Linked DNA regions of Rattus norvegicus. The protein of the gene in region 2 purifies or fractionates together with the protein of the main gene of each other region. This does not show direct contact. Links are inferred from orthologs where the notes say so. Each region holds a gene or a part of one and is shown on either strand. Other genes may lie near its edges.

Region 1 (4,953 bases), on a different chromosome or scaffold from region 2:
GAGTTTGGCATCAAGAATGAAGGTACTGTTTCAAACCTTTCTTGTCTTCTCTGAACCTAGCTCAGGTGTCTCGTCGGCATCAAGGAAAGAACGTGTAACTTGTCTTCTCCAAAGTGCTTGAAATGTACTTGGCAGATAGAAGTAATTAAAATGTGTGGACAGTCACTCCCCATTCTGTTTTGGGAAAGAAAGCCCAGCAGCGATTGATTGATTCAGCAGTCTCTGTTCTGGCATGCTGTGGAACTTCATGCCAGGACAGCACTTTGCCATATTAGAGGGGCCTGCTATTTAAATGCTTAAAAAATAAAAAGGATGTATTTCATGTATATGGGTATACTGTTGCTGTAGCTGTCTTCAGACACACCAGAAGAGGGCATCGGGTGCCCTTTGCAAATGGTTGGTTGTGAGCCATCTCTCCAGCCCAAAACAAAGTTTCTGATTAAATGGTTTTTAAAGATGCATCTTTTTACCTGGGTTGTGGTGGCACACACCTTTCCTCCCAGCACTCAGGAGGCAGAAGCAGGTGGACCCCTGTAAGTTTGAGGCCAGGCTGGTCTACAGTGTTAAGTCCATATATCTTCATACATACAGCCAGGGTCTCTTTTTGACTGTTTTTGTTATGGTGATACAGACTCTATGTATTCACAGACTATTCTCAACTCACTGTGTAGCACAGGTTGACCTCACAGTCATGGCCGTCCTACCTCAGCCTCCCACATGAGGGTTGCAGGTGTATCACACCACACCTGTGAGAAGTAAGGCTTCTTTCAGCTGGTTAGCAACTTCCAGAATCCCCTAGTGCACAAGTAATTTTACTCAAGTAGGAGGAAAGACGCGCTGTGTTGGGTCGGGTGGACTTTTACTTATTTGTGATATGGGGGATTGAACTCCAGGCTTGTGCATGTTGGGAAAATACCCTTTATCTCTGAGCCACAACCTCTAGCCCAGGAAGGTAGCTTTCTAATCTTTGTGATTTTTCAGGGTTAATTGTATTTTTTTTTTTGCCTCATCTGCTCACTTTGTTTTTATTTAATTTCATATGCTAACATTAGGCCCTAATGTGTAAGATTCCCGCAACACACCTGCAGGTTCTGAGCCCAGCTGATTTAGAAGCCTTCAGGCAGTAGTTTACAGCTTTTAACAGAGAGGGGCCAGACTCCACTGATTTGTAGTTGGTTTGGCTTCACTTCTTCCTTACCTGTGTCTGTTTTTATGAGACTATACCTTTAAAAAGTTTGCATCTCTCTGTGATTAAGAGTTGTATGTTTGTTCCTTGATTTTTAGTTGCTAATGTACTGTTACCTGATCTAATCATAAATTTCTGGTTGTCACCAAGAATTTCAGGTGGGGGGGGGTTGGGGATTTAGCTCAGTGGTAGAGCGCTTGCCTAGGAAGCTCAAGGTCCTGGGTTCGGTCCCCAGCTCCGAAAAAAAGAACCAAAAAAAAAAAAAAAAGAATTTCAGGTGGGAAGTTCCTTTCTCCCTCTTTTCCTCCTTTCCTCCCTCTAGCTTGTTCTGGAGATTAAAGTTGGGGATTGGAACTCAGTGCCTCACGTGTATTTGTGTGGGGTGCCACCACTGTGCTGCACCCGTGGTCTGAATCAACCCTATTTTCTTGGGGAATGGGAAGACCAGGACCTTTTTCTCTTTCTTTTTTTTTTTTTTTCCGGAGCTGGGGACCGAACCCAGGGCCTTGTACTTGTTAGGCAAGCGCTCTACCACTGAGCTAAATCCCCAGTCCCCCTTTTTCTCTTTCTAATCATGGTCTTCTCAATCTTGGTAAAGAGTAGGAAGATTGTTTTGTTCTTTTGTTTTGTTATCATTTAATACTCACCCACCACCCTTGAAATTGCTATTTTCCTCTGCTCCCCTCTGCTCCCCTCTGTGCTCACTTTCTTTCCTGTGCTTCTGTTTACATAGTCAGTTTATTTCTAAACTAGAACTGACAGCTCGGGGTTTGTAGAATGTAGGTTTAATAATGCTCTGTTCTTGTTAGTCATTGGTTCAGGGCTGTTGTTGGAGATTTGATATTGGTCACAAAGGTTTGAGAAACAAGCACAAACTTCAGGATAACCTGTGATTGGTCGTTGTTGTTGGTGGTGGTGGTGGTGGTGGTGGTGGTGTGTGTGTGTGTGTGTGTGTGTGTGTGTGTGTGTGTGTGTGTGTGTGTGTTCGTTCTTTCTTTCATTCTGTTTTGTTTTGCCATGCCTCTTCTGGGTAAACTATTCAGTGTTAGTGTTTGAGGCTTGAACATTTCACAGTTCAGCATTTTATGTGAAGTCCAGAAGGTGGCAGTGTAGCACATACTGAGTATTTCTCTTTCCTGTGGAAGAATGTTTAACATCTATCTGTAAGAGTGTGGGTGTGGCAGCTGAGAGCTGGGTGAAGTCTAGGACATGAGACTAGAAAGTTACCTCCTTTGGTGCTGTGGGATCTTGTTGGGTGTCATAGGTTCCACAGTTTACCCGTCTCTCTTTTTTTTTTTTTTCGGAGCTGGGGACCGAACCCAGGGCCTTGCGCTTCCTAGGCAAGCGCTCTACCACTGAGCTAAATCCCCAACCCCTACCCGTCTCTTTTTATCTCAGATATTGGTGATTACCACTAGTCTGCATTGCTTAAGCACAGAGAGACAGTTCTTGCCTGTGTGGGTAATACTTGGATTTCTTTTTTCAATGCTTGCCAAGTGGTTTTAGAACTGTCATATGACCTATCCACAGTGTATCCCCTACTCTGTGCTGCTGAAGGACCTGGAGATGAGGAATCTCCGGGAACTAGAAGACCTTATCATTGAGGCTGTCTACACTGACATCATCCAGGGCAAGCTGGACCAGCGAAACCAGCTCCTGGAAGTGGATTTCTGCATTGGCCGTGACATCCAGAAGAAAGATATCAATAATATTGTCAAGACCTTGCATGAATGGTGAGACTGGGAGATGGAGGGAGGGCCTCTCTGCAGCACTGTGATCTTGAGAAGTGAGCTTGAGGTAGTCCAAGCTGGGGTCTTTGGACACTGAGACAGAGTGGGGCTGCATTGGTGGTTACAGCTGTGTGGCATTAGGAAACCTGGAAGGGTTCCTGGTGCCTGCCTTGTGAAGTTGACTTTAAATGCAGCTGGGCTGTAAAATGTTCATGTGGAGTTATAGGTCGAGTCTCTGCATTCTGGCTGTGTGGCACCAAATCGCAGCTTCTAAACATATCTCCTTATCCTCCCGTCCAATGAATAAATGAATTTAGTAAAAAGAACAGAGACTTTAGTATATTATTTTAGTGGGATTTGATGCTTGCAAAAGTGGTTATGTGTTCTGTAAGGATTTAATGAGCTATGTAAGTGATTTGGGGCTATGAAACCAGAGCTTAGGGAAGTGTGAGGAAGCTTTGAGGGAGAGCATTATTGAGAGTGGGGAGATTGTTCCCACATGGGCCTATGGCGTGCTGCATGGCATTCAGCAGACTGGGCAGCTTTGTGCTGAGAGTTAGGGACACTTGCCTTTGTTGTTGTTTTTTCTCGAAACAGGCCTTGTTCTCTAGCCCAGGCTTGCCTAGAACTAACTATAACTATGCATTCTAGGTTTGCCTCAAAGTCAAGATTTGTCCAACTGCCTTCCAAGTACCACTACACCCAGATTTTGTATACATAAAAAATATAATACATACATATATAAAATAGGCATTTTGCTTACATGTATAGAAGTGCACTGTGTGTTTATCTAGTGCCCACAGGGGTCAGAGGAGGGCATCAGAGTCCCTGGAACTGGAGTTATGGGTGATCGTGAGCTAGTGTGTGGGTGTCGGAAGCTGAACTTGGGTCCTGTATAAGAGCAACAAACATTCTAACCACTGAGCCATCTCTTCAGCCACCAGAAGAGAGTCTCAGAGCTCCTACTTATATGTTAGAAGGGGACTGGAAAATAAAAACACAGCAAAATATTGGACATATTGAATAGTAATGGACAGTGTGTAAATTTTCATTATATTGCTTTTCAAAAACTTATTTTTTGAGACAGGATCTCATTTTGTAGACCTGGCTGGTGTCACAGGCTAGCTGTGAACTCAAGAGATCTGTCTCTGCTTCCTGAGTACCGGGATTAAAGGCATGTGTCACTAAGCCCAGTGAGAAGTGCTTGTTAACTAGGAAATAACTTCAAATTCCGAGGAAAAGGCAATCTGTAAAATAGAACATTTACTTTTTCTTTTGTAGAAAGGGATCAAGTCAGTGTTACTTGTAGTTAGTCCCTCCTTCGGTCTTAGTCTGTAAAAGTGTTTCTTATGGACTGCAAGGACTGGAAATTAGAGCTGTATTCCAAGAAATTGCCCACAATCTGCAGCTGCTGTGCCCTTGGCCTGTGTTACATATTTAGATGACTTGGTTTGGAAGGAGGGAGGGGACTGACATGACCACCTGGCAGAGGAAGTCCCATAAAGTGCTGGAAGGATCTGGGAGGGAGATTCCTGAGCCTGTAGGAGCCTGCTTCCACCTCACTGTAGCTCAGGGCTGGGTTTTCTGTTGCAGGTGTGACGGCTGTGAGGCAGTTCTCCTGGGCATTGAGCAGCAAGTTCTGAGAGCCAACCAGTACAAAGAGAACCACCACCGGACTCAGCAGCAGGTGGAAGCCGAGGTAACTAGAAACGGAGCATTTGTTCCCCTCCTTAGGGTGGCCTAGGAATTAGCTTGCAGCGTCTTTGTGTTTGACATTGCTTTGCTGTAAATATACCAGGTAAACACGCCTTGGGGTTAGTACTGGAGTTTACCAGAGAATGAGCGGGCTGAGCGTGTAGAATGTAGTTAGTACTGGAGTTTACCAGAGAACAAGCGGGCTGAGAGTGTAGAATGCATGCATCTTCAGTGTGCGTACTGTGTTGCAGCTGCTGAGGGAAAGAAATGTTGGTGCTGTGTTTTAAAAATAGAAGGGAACTGGAGAGATGGCTCAGCGGCGAAGCGGACTTACTGCTTTTA
Region 2 (5,483 bases):
GCTACACCTGTGATATTTTCATAATTTCCAATGAAATGTAACTGTAACTGTGGAAAAATGACTTTCCTATGGGAAACATGAACCTAACCTTTATTAATGGAAGGGGAAAATACATATTCCCAAGCTGTTCTCTGCCCTCCACATAAGCATGGCCATACCCATCCATATAGAAACAAATGTTAAAATGTTTTTTAAGCATGAATGTGCTAAGGTAGTACACACATTTAACTTCAGCACTCAGGACACTGAGGCAGGTGGCTCTCTCTGGTCTACACAGTGAAGTTCAGGACAGCCAGTACAATATAGAGATCTTGTGTCAATAAATACCTAAATAAACACATACGTACATAATAAATATAATAAAAATAAATACCCTGCATGTTAACTCATCTTACTATCATCAAAAGACTTTATTAATATAAATTTACAAGGTATCATTTTGTTTGGCATGATATAGTGGGTATGCATCATTTAATTCATCCTTTGTTTTGGAGGGCAGGGATCTAACTATGTATCCCTAGCTAGCCCAGAACTCATAAAAGATCTGCATGTATCTGCCTCCCAAGTGCTTGAAGAATAACCACTAAAGTTTTTTTTATAAGTATCATGCAAAAAGTTATGACACACACCTAATGATGACAGAATCAATGGTCACCAAGATGGAAATATCCAGCCCAGGGCATTGAGCTAAGTAATTAACTTTCAAGCTTAATTTTCACAGTCACACTGTGAGGTGACTTTTACAGATGAGAAAATAAATTATAGAGGTTCTCACGACCACACAAATGACACATGCCAGAAAAGAATTGATGATTTAAAAGAACTCAAATCCCAACTCGCCTGAAATGTCTGTGAATTCTTATTTAACTTCACTAAATATCAAATTTTTGAAAAAAATCTCAACTTCTAATTCTATTAAATAGAAACAGTTGTGGGAAGCGAATGATAATTCCTTATTACAAAATATAAATTCTTAAATATATTTAAAATATATATTTATACGCATGGAATTTCCCTACTCATAAGAATATACGCCAAAGTATTTAGAGGTGATATGCCTACCAGCTCAAATTCCACAAAATTAACATAGAAAAACACAGCAAGCAGTTAACTATTGAAACTGAAGATTATCACTTATTTTCACTTTCCTACTTAAAAAGTTTGAGGGACTCAAGATGTAGCTCAATTGTAAAAAGAACTTAGTCGAGAACACCTGGGTTCCATCCCCAAAACTATTATCACCAAAAAAAAGATTAAAACAAAATGTTGGAACTGAACTCTTTTGTCAAACTGATTCTCAAATATACTGGATATTTGTTTTTGTTTGCAGGGTTTTTTTGGTTGGTTGGTTGGTTGGTTGGTTGGTTGGTTGGTTGGTTTAAGACAGGGTGTCTCTGTGTGGTCCTGGCTGTCCTGGAACTAGTTCTGTAGACCAGACTGAACTCACACAGATCCACTTGCCTCTGCTTCCCAAGTGCTGGGTTAAAGGTTTGCACTACCACCACCAAGCTCAAACCCATTGTTAAAAATGAATATCAAAGTGAAAAACATTATGCAGGATTGCCATCTTTGAATTTAAAAGTGTATGCATATCCCCCCTGAAATGAAAAAAATACCTAAAAAATAGGTTAAGTATTGTATGACAAGTAATGAAGTAACTGTGTGTATGATAAATGGTTTTCATTACACTTCACTCTAGTCTACCATTTCCCCACCGTTTTGCTAAGTTAAACCATGAAATAGGTCCTTTTCTAATACACTACATTGAATGGTCAATTCAACAAAAACTGTCCCCATATCTAAAACAAAGGCTGTATTAAAATAGATCCAGGGCAGGGGAGAAAAGGTTGGGGAAACCACTCCTTCAGGAAAGTTTTGAACCTTAAAGGGAAGCAGCTGAGAGGTATAGCTCAGGGGTAGGCCCTTGCCAAGCATTCTTCAGGGCCTAAGGTATTAAATTCAATTCCTAGTGGAAAGTAAAAAGGGAGGGGGGAGGAGAGGGGACGGGCTACGCAGAGACTATTTAAAAGGCCTTAAGGAAGGGAAAGGAGATTTCCTCTGAGAGAGGCCCTAAGTTGATCCTCAACTCCAAAAGGGTAAAGAGGGAGCTTCAAGAAAAAAGTTAACACTATGGCATTCAATCCTATGTAACTTTATTACTGCCAATGACTACTAGCTCCTTTACAAAAACATAGTGGTAATAAACCAACTCCAATCCCTTTAACAGAGTTCCTTTGATCACATTTTATTATTAAATTTAACAACTAACAGTTAGCAGTAAATACGATGCTCAAAAGATGTGTAAAAACTCCTCAAATTACCTTAACACCTAAAAATATATCCTCATTCGAAAATGGTTAATGAATAACTGTTATACACAAACATAAATCTTAAGGTGGGCAGTGCTGGTTTACACCTTTAATCCCAGTACTCAGGGAGGCAGAGGCAGGCAGATCTCTGAGTTCGAGACCAACCTGGTCTAAGCTGAGTTTCTGGGCAACCACGGCTACACAGAGAAACCCTGTCTCAAAAAACAAAAACATAAATCTTGACATTGAACTGAAATGTTTATAAAAGCCTTGAAGGTAAATGCCAGTAACCTCAAGGGGAAAAAGCCTTCAAAGCCCTTCAGGTGACACCATCAGTGAACTTCCTACTATACATTAACAAAGGGCTTGCAATAGGAAGACAGTGCTACAACAAATTAAAACGTGCTGGGTATCTAAAAGGCTTCGCCTCAAAGAGTTAAAAAAAACAGAGCAAACTTGGCATGGGGGCAGACACCTTTAATCTCAGCACTCTGGGTAGGAGGATATCTTAGTTCAAGGCCAGCCTACTCTACAATGAGTTCTGGGAAGGAAAAAAAAAAAGAGCAACGTAAGATAAACAAAACCGAGTCATTTGTTACTCAAAAACTACTACTTCACACACTCCACGACTATTTCCTCAACAAATGGAAAAACCAGAGAGTTATCACTGCAGTAAGAGGAAACGGACCGACACCTTCTAGGAACAGAAGACAAAGTATGGCAAACGTCCTTGAAAGCCCAACAAAAACTAACTAAAAGCCCTCAGAACAAGTGCCGGAGAAGCCTGGCAGGCAATCTGGGGTCAGACTCGGCGTCTGGGCACCCACATACCTCTCTCCCCTTCCACTCTACTGCATTGTAGAAGTGGGAGGGGTCCCGGAGAGCTCCGCCCCCTCGCCCGGTCCAAGAGGCGGGAGGGTGCAAGTGGGAGGTGGCTCGGAGCCGAACGAGGGAAAAGCCCGCCCAGGTGATTGAGGTTGGAGGCGGAGACACAGTCCCGGGAAGGGGTCCGTCGTGCGGCAGGGAAGAGGAAGCCCCCTCGTCTCGTGAGGAACAGAGACTTGGAGGTGACGAGAGAAATTCAAAAGAGCACCTCCTTCAGGTAGAGAGCATACCCTGCCCCCCCCCACGCCCGGGCGGAAGAGTTACTCTAAAGAAGCTTCATTACAAGACTGGTGGAAGAACCTGGAGGCCCCGCCCCCTAGCCAGGGGTCGGAAAGCGGAAAGTCTTGTCAGGCCCAGGGCCCAGCCTCCCCGGTGGTCCTGCCCACCCCCTCGCCGCCCGCAGCCGAAGCAGGTGCCGCCCCTCCCCCAGCGCGGCGCCCACTCTCCCGCCCTGCGGGCCGCGCGCTCGGTCTCCTCGTGCCCCTGACAGAGAGCCGGCTCCTTCCTTATCCCGCTCACCTTCGCGAGCGGCTCCGCCGCTTCTCCCCCGACCCCTCCAGCGGCCACGGTTCTCACACACCGCCTCTGGTCCCGCACTCACTCTCCCTCACTCACACACACAGCGCGACCACGGCTCCTGAGCGGCCCACATATTATACGTCACTCGCATGCTACGTACTGTGCGCGCGCGCGTAACGTTGGCGCGAGGCTCCCAAGCGAGTAGGGGGAGGAGCGGAGGAATATCAAAGCGCTCCTGGGAAATGAAGTTCCGCGTTTAAGGGCAGGGATGGTGAAGCTTGACCTACCAGTAAGCACCACTTTAGCGCGTTGACTTCTGGTATTCGTAGTTTTCTTTAATAAACGTGAATTGCTGTGTATTCATTGGCTGCCTCCAAAGGCGGAAGCGAAAAGTAAAGGAAGGAATGAATCTTTCTAAAATCCCCGCTGGCCAGGTAACTTTGTCCGTACCCAAGTCTACCCTGTGTCATCGGAAAGGCTCAGTAAGGCTCTGCCACAACAGCCTTAAAACATGCCAGGGTCAAAGAATGCATTTCGCATAAATGTATCAGAAATTACTGTACTCGTTAGACCGAAACTCATTGGTTTTCCTTTGTCTTTCTGTTAAAAACATATTCGGCAGGAATCAAAAACCATCTGTTACCATGTATTATATGTGAGGCAGAAAAATTAAAAAAAGCCCTTTGGCGAAAATAACTAATCAGAGGCCATCTAATTCAATTTATCAGTTTGAAAGTTGAGGAAAGTGAAACCCACAGTAAATGACTTGCCTAACTTCACAAACCAAAGGGAAGCAGCATCCGAAGGATCTGATTTTGACCCAACGATTCTGTGTGAGAGCATGGAAGATAACGATAACTCCACAATTGAGCAGAATCTTGACAAAACCTGCCCAGACTTATGCAACTCACTATTGTTCTTGGCGTTCTGAGTTGAGTTCTGTGTGTTTCCATAGAGCTCTCACAGCCAATACATTCACGTGGAAATTAGAAAACACTGTGAACCTATTGTCATGATCAGATTCTACGGCTGTTACTAAGCCTGTATCCAAGAAGTGGTAGTGGCGGTGGTGCAAGCCTTTAATCCCAGCACTTGGGAAGCAGAGGCAGACAGATCTTTGTGAGTTCAAGGCCAGCCTCATTTAGAGTGAGTTCCAAAACAACTGGCGCTACAGAGGGAAATCCTGCCTTAAAAAACAAATTAAAAGGGGCTGGGGATTTAGCTCAGTGGTAGAGCGCTTACCTAGGAAGTGCAAGGCCCTGGGTTCGGTCCCCAGCTCCGGAAAAAAAAGAAAAAAAAAAAGAACAAACAAAAAAAAAAAAAAAAACAAATTAAAAAAGAGAAGCCAGTATCTTAGGTCTCAGCTTAAGTCCATCACCATCCTACCTCACCCACCTGAGTACTCTGTTCTGCTTCCTCACTCAATTGTGTGCTTGGAGTAACAGCCATCCCAGGTACAAATTCTAGAAGGTGATGGTATGTAGCCCATCATCACTTCTTGCTCTTGTGCTATAATGGCCACTATTTAATTAGGCTTTATAGCAGACTTAAATCAAATGTTTTTAATTACACTCATTATTCTCAACACCAGAGCAGATAAGGCTAGCCAAATTTATGGAGGAGAAATCTAAAGTAGTAATGTTGAATGAAGAGTTTTACTAGGCACGGTGGGACTGGTGAGGCAAAGGCAGGTGGATCTGTGAGTTAGAAGCCATCTTTGTCTACACATTGAATTCCAGGATAGCCAGTGCTACGTAATAGATAATGTCT

Evidence for each region. Proteins that work in one complex are often made in the same cells at the same time.
Region 1: the proteins of Dcaf1 (region 2) and Cops7b purify together in Homo sapiens (affinity purification with mass spectrometry; 3 studies listed by BioGRID, with this or other methods). This does not show direct contact. The link is inferred for Rattus norvegicus from reciprocal best matches to the Homo sapiens genes DCAF1 and COPS7B.

Annotation. Positions count from the first base shown.
Region 1 is NC_086027.1:94,702,338-94,707,290, forward strand, and holds part of Cops7b (COP9 signalosome complex subunit 7b), read left to right. Parts: coding exon 1-22; intron 23-2,716; coding exon 2,717-2,919; intron 2,920-4,509; coding exon 4,510-4,615; intron 4,616-4,953. UniProt on the Homo sapiens protein: Component of the COP9 signalosome complex (CSN), a complex involved in various cellular and developmental processes.
Region 2 is NC_086026.1:116,351,360-116,356,842, reverse strand, and holds the start of Dcaf1 (DDB1- and CUL4-associated factor 1), read right to left. Parts: upstream 3,811-5,483; 5' UTR 3,714-3,810; intron 3,354-3,713; exon of another isoform or gene 3,141-3,353; intron 1-3,140. UniProt on the Homo sapiens protein: Acts both as a substrate recognition component of E3 ubiquitin-protein ligase complexes and as an atypical serine/threonine-protein kinase, playing key roles in various processes such as cell cycle, telomerase regulation and histone modification.